Linked DNA regions of Notamacropus eugenii. The protein of the gene in region 2 interacts with the protein of the main gene of each other region in a biochemical or structural test. Links are inferred from orthologs where the notes say so. Each region holds a gene or a part of one and is shown on either strand. Other genes may lie near its edges.

Region 1 (3,922 bases), on a different chromosome or scaffold from region 2:
GCTTCTAAGATAAAATATAAATCAAGTTAGTTTTTAAAGCACTATAGAACCTGGTCCCAATCTATCTTTCCAGATTCATAGGGTATTTCTCCTCCTACACTCTGATCCAGACAACAGACAAATTGGCATTCTCTATATTATTCATACAGGAAACTTCATTTCCTTTCTTGGGGTCTTTACATTAGTTATCCTGATGACCAACAAACAACTTCTTAATTTTCTTCATATTTGTGTCATATGCATTTTTATATATACTTGTCTCTTCCATTAGAATGTAGGCCCCTTGTGTATACCAACTATTTCATTCTTTGTGTCTGTATCTACAGCATGTAGCCCAGGCCTCAACATATAGCAGGTGCTTAATAAATATTTGTTGTTTGAAGATGTTTTTGTTATTGCTGCTGCTGGGTTTTTTTTGGCATTGATTCCTAGTCTGTGATTCTTTTATCCTGTGATTTGGAAAGTTTTCCTGGAGTTCAACTTGGAAAGATGGATAGGATTTGAATAGGCATCCAGGAGAAAAGGGAATCCCCAGAATGGAAAGGATGCAGAACAGCACAAGAGAAGGGGTAGAGGTGGCACTGAACATAGTGTATGTGGAAAGCAATGAAGAATCTGTTCCAAGTAGGTGATTGTGTCTTGTTCCTAAAGAGCTTCAGTATGTCTCCATTAGTAATTTATGCAGAAGCCTACAGGAAATGTTCATTATTGGATACTGGATATTGGATCCCTCCCTCTCCCTGCCCCCCCCCACAACTAACCCAAATCTATCTTTCAACATTTCTACTTATGCTGTTAGATGGAATCAAAACTGCTGATGATCATTTCTCACATGATGACCCTTCATCTGTTTTAGTGCTTCAGATTATTTTTGAATCATTCCCCCAAGAAAATGACCCTGTACTTTATTTAGCTGACCCCACCTAATCATTCATTAGTTTTATTGCCCTGCCTTGGACTCGTCCCAGTTTAGCCTCATCTATCTTAAAGTAGACAGAGCCCAACCAGAGATAGTCTAATAAAGGTTTCATATATGGCTACTTAAACACACTAATCTGTTATTTTGGAACCTAAAACATTTCCCCTGATAGACCTCTTAGTCAAAGGTCAAAGCTGTATCTAAGAAAGAAGGGCTATGGGAGCCCATTTGCTCCTGGAAGTTTGAGAGATGCCAATAAAAACATATAACAAAAACTGAAAGTGAAAAGAGGAAGGCTGATTGTGCAATAAAATAAAAGAGGGAACGCCAGTAAAAACCTATTCTATGGTAACTAGAGAGATGCATAGCAGAGGAAGGAAGAAAATTCAGGAGAGGCCTCCTGATGAGGCAAGACAGGCTCTAAGATCCCCTCGGTGCTGGACATCAGCAAACAAGGCTAACAGGAAATGATCCATTCCATGTGGTCACTTATTCTGCCTTCTCTAACTCTCAAAGTTCAAATAGAGAAATGGATGACGACAGAGAAAGAGGAGCAGTTAAGATTTACTTCTTCACTTCTGGCCTTAAGAAAAGAGAAGAAATGAAACTCCTGGATTGTACACCCACCCTTCCTCAGGGAAGAAGCTCTGCATGGCAAGCTAGAAGAGGGCTCCTGTCAGCCACTCTGCTACTGACGCTTCTCTCCGGTGGCCTGGCACTGGTCTCATTGTACCAAGTGTTCACCCTGCAGGCTGAGTTGGGGAGTCTCCGGCATGAACTTCAGGCTTATCAGAGCAGGGCTGAGCAACTTCAGGGCCTGCAGAAGGAGAAAGCAGGAACACACCCTACTATTCTCCAGTCAGAAGCTGCTACCATCACAGGACTACAAGTGAGTTACCAAGAAGCTGCCTAGCCCTGGTTACAGGGCTCTCATGCTTCCTATTTCTTTTACTTCTGCTTAGTTTTGTTTTTTTAAATAACCTGGGTCTTTTCCATTAACAGGAGCTTGGGGTACCCCCTATCACAGGAGAAAGCAGTCCCCAAATCAGCCTTAGACAAAGCAGAAGAAGCAGAAGAGGTGTTCCGGACTCAGGGGAAACTAGTAAGTTGAGGGGAAGCAGTGTTTCAGAAACTTCCCAACTGGGGCATATACCCATAGCACAAACTGGAGAAAATTAGGTGAATTCATTTTCCTTCCTGGATCTCTGATCATATTTTCTAGCTGCAAACAAAACCTGACCAGCTATGTTGCTAAAACAAGGGAGCCCTTTACGAGGATTGCTTCACTTGTTGCAGGTTGTAATGAAGAAGACATTTAAGAGTCAGTCTTCAAGGGCCCTGGAATCATCTGGGGGAATGGTGGAAGGGAAGGAAAAAACCTCTTTTACTATTTTACTATTAGCTCTTCTTGGTGATTGCAATAACCTAGTCAGTATTTTAATGTTTCTAAATAACAGATTTCATTGGTGGAATAATTCACCTGGGCTTGAGATAAAGGGAGCAGTTTATTTAATCTTCAAATAAAATAAAGGCCACTTTGTCAGAAGCATTGCTCATGACTCACCTAATAAAACCACACCCTTTCCTATCCCTTTTCCAATTCTGGAACCACAATCAAATTAGGGACTGTTTCTACTTTTGTATTTATATATATACTCAATGCTAGACACAGTGCTTGGCACATAGAAAACCCTTAATAAATGTTTTGTTTTTCATTCTTTCATTCAGATGCTTTCATCTCTCTATTATTAGAATGTGCCTATCTGAGACAGAGAGTTGGCTAAACATACTCATCTCTCCATGCGCCATTTTGTGATACTTTATATCCAAACAGGTGTACTGTTTTAATCTTAATGCTTCTCCTAAGACATTTTTAATGGTTTCTCCAATGAAAGCTGAATGTACTGCTAGTCTTTTTAAAGTAATTCTTCATGGAGTCCTTAATTTTTAAACATCTTCTTATCTTAGAGAGGCAAAGTGTCAAAATGGATAGAGATCTGGCCTCTGAATTTTCTCCTGTGTCTGACACGTACTGACTATGCAATTCTGTAAAAGTCACTTAACCTCTTAGTTTTTAAACAACTCTCTAAGGCTATTATTTAGAGTGAAGATACCTTCCTGCATTCATAGACAGAGTTCCCTCATCTGGGAGTTCCCTAATCCAATGTAATAAGACGTTCAGTCTCTATTTTTCTGTCAGTTAATCTTTTCTAACCATGAGGCATTTACTAGAATGGCTTACAGCCTCACAGGGTCTTAGAGATGACCTTAGAATCCTTTCCATTAAGTGAAATCCAGTATAATTTAACGTAAGAGAAAACAGGCCCAGAGAGATACAATGCCTTATCTGAGAGATTAATTATACCGTTTTGCATTTAGCCATCATTTGCCCATGATCAGAAAAATTCTTTACAATAATTCAGGAATTTATGTTTTAGAGTTGACAAAGTATGACTTCAAATGTAATGGTTGTGGTCACATTTTTTATTAAAACCCCAGTGATTCCCTTTTTAAAGATGTGCTCATAAAATGCAATCAAGCTTTCAAGTCCAAATTTAAAATATATCTTCTTTGTGGGGCATTTCCTGAACACCCTAGATCATTATAAATCTTCCCTTACCCTGAACTTTTACCATTTATCATTTTTACAAGTCATACTCATTTGGCACTTAATGACATTGTATTTTTCACTCTTGGTTACATTTGTATGTGTATTGCCTGTTTACCAATAGAATCCAATCAGAAGCTCCAGGAAGAAGGAAGGAGAAAGGGAGAAGGTTAAAACTTGGTTCTTCTACACTACCTACTAGAGTCACTTGTACATAGTACACAGTAAACGAATGTTTAGTGATTGATTCAATAGGAACTTTAAAGTGATAGTGATTTGAATGAGTTTGAGGTTACTTGACATTGTATTTCTTCTGAATTTCTTCTGATTTCTCAGTTTGAATTTAACCAGAAAACATTTTATGAAATATTAAAAGTTCATATTTATTACAGCTG
Region 2 (3,922 bases):
AAACCTATTTTCACATTAGTCATTTGATCTGTGTCTTAAAGGAAACTAGGGATGCTGGAAGGTGGAGGTGAGAGGACCAAGCATTCCAGGCATGGGGGACAGCCAGTGCAAAGGCATGTGAATAAATGGGAGATGGAGCATTATGAGTGAGACTCAGCAAATTGACCAGTGCCAGTGGGAGGGGAGGAAGGTGTCAAAAGACTATAAAGGCAGAAAGGAGACAGGTGGTGCAGGGCTTTAAATGGCAAACAGTGGATTTTATATTTGATCCTGGAAGTAATAGGGAATCACAGGAGGTTAGATGGATGAGGAGGTCAGATTTGTATCTGAGGAAGATCATTTTGATAGCTAAATGGAAGATGGATTAGAGCAGGGAAAGACTGGAGTCAGGAAGTATAAGGGCAAAGGTCCTGCACCAGGGGTGGCTGTGTGAATGTAGAGAAGGGGAGAAACAGGAGGGATGTTGTGAAGATAGAAACGACAAGTAGAAGACATGAGAGGAGGAAAGGCTGCTTGTATGGTGATGGGGAACAGTTTGTAAATGGTAAAGCAAAGTAAGAAATAGTCTGACTTCCCTATGATGACCATGAGTGAAAGTGGACCAGTACTGAAAAGGGTAGCCAGCAGGACAAAGTCACCAGAAGGGAGCCAGGTCCTGTTCCGACTCTTTGTGACACCATTTTGGGGTTTTCTTGGCAAAGATACTGGAGTGGTTTTCTCATTTCCTTGTCTAGCTCATTTGACAGATGAGGATACTGAGGCAAACTGGGTTAAGTGACTTGCCCATGGTCACACAGCTAGGAAGTGTAGGAGACAGGATCTGAACTCAGGAAGAAGATAAGTCTTTCTGACTCCTGGTACAGTGCTCCATCCACTGCACCACCTAGCTCCTGAAATAATGTGCTAGTATAGTACACTTCCCATAAATATATGTTGGACTTCGATCAGATTTGCTGGACAGGGCTAAGTTCCCAGCTCCAGTGTGCCCTAGAGTTTACGTGTGCATACATATGTATGCATGGGCAGGCCTGGGGCTGATTTACATATTAAAAGTTTGGGGGAAAAACCCAGGAAGCATACAGCATAGACACTAATCAAATCTAATGCTAATAATAAACCTACTGAGTAATGGGTAAGGCCTGGGACTGTAGTTCCTTGTGAGGGAGCAGAAGTAGAGCAAGGTGAGAGTCTTTTGCAGAAGAAGAGATGTGAGTATTTTACTAGACTCTTTGTGGGAAATCGGGGAATGGGGAAGTGGCTACATGGGAGTGAGAATGGGAGCGGGCAGTGAGGGAAGCAGAGTTGATTTGATGAAAATGAGATAGTCTGGGGAGCTGGGAGAGGCTCAGAGAGTATTTTAGGTATGGAAGACAGCCCAGAGGTTCAGTGGGGAAGAGTGAAGTTCCCACAGAGCTCAGCTGCCGTACATGGCTCAAGGCAGACGCCAGCCTAGAGGATTCTAATTATAACTTAGCACCCATAAAGAAGGCTATAGGATCAGAGATCGAGAGCTGGAAGAAGGGCCATCTGATCTAATTCTCTCATTTTACAGATGAAGAAATTGAGACTGACAGAGGTGAAAGAGCTAGCCCAAGGTCACATGGGGTAGTGAGGCTGAGATGAGACCCAAGGTCTCGAAATCCAAGTTTTTGCATTATACTGGACTAGAGAATGATTGGGAAAATTGCTTTCCAAAGCTAGACATGCTCTGTAAACACAAAGGATTATAGTCTATTAGTGTAGCCTGGGGAGCTCAGGGTAACCAAATTCATTCCTTCCCCTCCTGTCTCATGAAAGAAGGAGAGGGGAATGAGGCCTTTCTTAGTTTCAGCCTTGAAGGCTAAGTCTCAGCACTGCCATCGAGGGAGCCCCATCTTCCTTCTTTCTGAATCTTTGGAAAAGATAGGAACCCAAGGAGTCATAAACCATTAGAGCAGGAAAGAAGAAGAAAGAGAAATTCCAGGGAAATGGGAAATGTCAATCTTTTCTTTAATCTGCAGAAAGTTTAGGCAGTATTACTCATCGGCATGGTGCCTGCATGTCAAAAGTCAGACATAGATTTGAATCGATGGCATCTTGTCTTGCCATCTGTCTGTTTTACAGATGAGACACCTGAGGCCATGAAGGGTTAAGGAACTCCTCCGAGTAGGTAGCAAGCATCAATGGTGGAATTGGAACCCAAATTCTCAGAATGTTTTGACAGCACCACATCGACTCCCCTGGCTCACTTGGGTTAGAATTCTAGAAAACAATAGAGCTGGAAGGAGCCTTTGAGGTCATCTAGTTAGACAGCCTTCATTTCACAAAGGAGGAAACTGGGGCCCAGCGAAAGGAAGGGACATGCTTTACATCCTACAGCAAATTCACATCAGAGTCTCGGTTAAGTCCATGGGTCTCACCATACTCAGCCCGAAGCTCATTTCAGTCTAGGCTGTGTCTCTCAGTTTATACCTATGAGGCCAGGGAATGTTTCCTTTTTTCCTTTTAGAATTCCTATAGCTCACAACTTGAAAGACTAACAGGTACACAGAATGTACTCAAGTATTATCACTGAGGGAGGTGAATGGTTGTGAAGATATATGATGGCACAGCATAAAATGATCCTGTCCCGACTTGGACTTGAATCATACGTCAGCTCTGAATAACTTGTAGTGGCTTCATAATATACATACACAGAACTATATATATATATATATATATATATATATTCATATACACATTTTTATTTAGATAGACATACATACATAAACATATACAGATATATATGGGGAGGTAGATAAGCTAGATAATTGAGACTCTAGGCTGGACTCAAGTGTTCCCAACCTTGTAGTTTTCTGCCTCTGCTTTTAGGTGTTGGTTATTTTTAGCACAACAGAGCTTTGCCATTTTTTTTTCATGCAGCCAGACTTATCAGTCTTGCACCAAGGGCACATTCAGCTGGTGAGACTGCCACAGAGGATGGTGCATCTCAGGTACAGTTATAGCACAAGAGGAGATAGCTTATCTCCCAGAAATTATGGCCCATGCCCCAGGAGCATAGCCAACAGTCCTCAGAGCCTAGGAGAAGTTGGTAGAGGGGTATGGTAATGGTACAAGATGGATGCTAAGACCTTGAGGCCTAGGTTGGTGGTCCCAAGAACCACTAGTGGGAGTGAGTACCCACTCCACAAGATGTCGGCTCCCTGGAAAAAGGCCTTGGTTGCCCTGCTCTGGTTACAACCCTGTATTTGGCAAATGTGTGTGTGTGTGTGTGTGTGTGTGTCTGTGTGTGTGTGTGTGTGTGTGTAGATAGATGACAGACAGACAGATAGATAGATAGATAGACAGACAGATAAATAGATAGATAGATAGACAATGTTTTTAATGAATGGTCCAGATACTGAATGCTTTAAGTTCAGAGAGGTGGGAATTTTTTAAAATTAATTAATTTATTTTTAGTTGACAACATTCAGTTCCACAGGCTTTTGAGTTTTACATTTTCTCCCCCTTCCTCCCCTTCACCTTCCCCAACATGATGTGCAATCTGATATAGGCTCTACATATACATTCATATTAAACATATTTTCACATTAGTCATGTTGCAAAGAAGAATTATAACCAAAGGAATGAAGAGGTGGAGATGTCTATAGGCTGAATATGAAGGTAGGATTTGGTTAGGTGCTAACCTCCAGTCAACCACACACCTGAATTGGGTTTAAACCCACAAACTGCTTAAATACAAATTTCCATATAAAAAAGATCTGGGCTTACAGTGGGCTGTATCTGTATGCCCAATATGAGTCAGTGGTACAAGATGGTGGCCAAAGGTGTCATTTCCTTCTTAGGGGGTCTGAACAGAAACATGGTGTCTAGAGAGAAGGAGATGATAGGTGTTCCGTACCTTTGACCAAGCCACATCTGGAGTATTGTAACCAGTGTTTGT

Evidence for each region.
Region 1: the proteins of TNFRSF13B (region 2) and TNFSF13B form a complex in vitro, tested with the Homo sapiens proteins (3 studies listed by BioGRID and IntAct, with this or other methods). The link is inferred for Notamacropus eugenii from reciprocal best matches to the Homo sapiens genes TNFRSF13B and TNFSF13B.

Annotation. Positions count from the first base shown.
Region 1 is NC_092877.1:215,031,012-215,034,933, reverse strand, and holds the start of TNFSF13B (tumor necrosis factor ligand superfamily member 13B), read left to right. Parts: upstream 1-1,349; 5' UTR 1,350-1,448; coding exon 1,449-1,808; intron 1,809-1,921; coding exon 1,922-2,021; intron 2,022-3,922. UniProt on the Homo sapiens protein: Cytokine that binds to TNFRSF13B/TACI and TNFRSF17/BCMA. TNFSF13/APRIL binds to the same 2 receptors. Together, they form a 2 ligands -2 receptors pathway involved in the stimulation of B- and T-cell function and the regulation of humoral immunity.
Region 2 is NC_092874.1:378,465,106-378,469,027, forward strand, and holds the start of TNFRSF13B (tumor necrosis factor receptor superfamily member 13B), read left to right. Parts: upstream 1-1,119; 5' UTR 1,120-1,208; intron 1,209-3,922. UniProt on the Homo sapiens protein: Receptor for TNFSF13/APRIL and TNFSF13B/TALL1/BAFF/BLYS that binds both ligands with similar high affinity. Mediates calcineurin-dependent activation of NF-AT, as well as activation of NF-kappa-B and AP-1.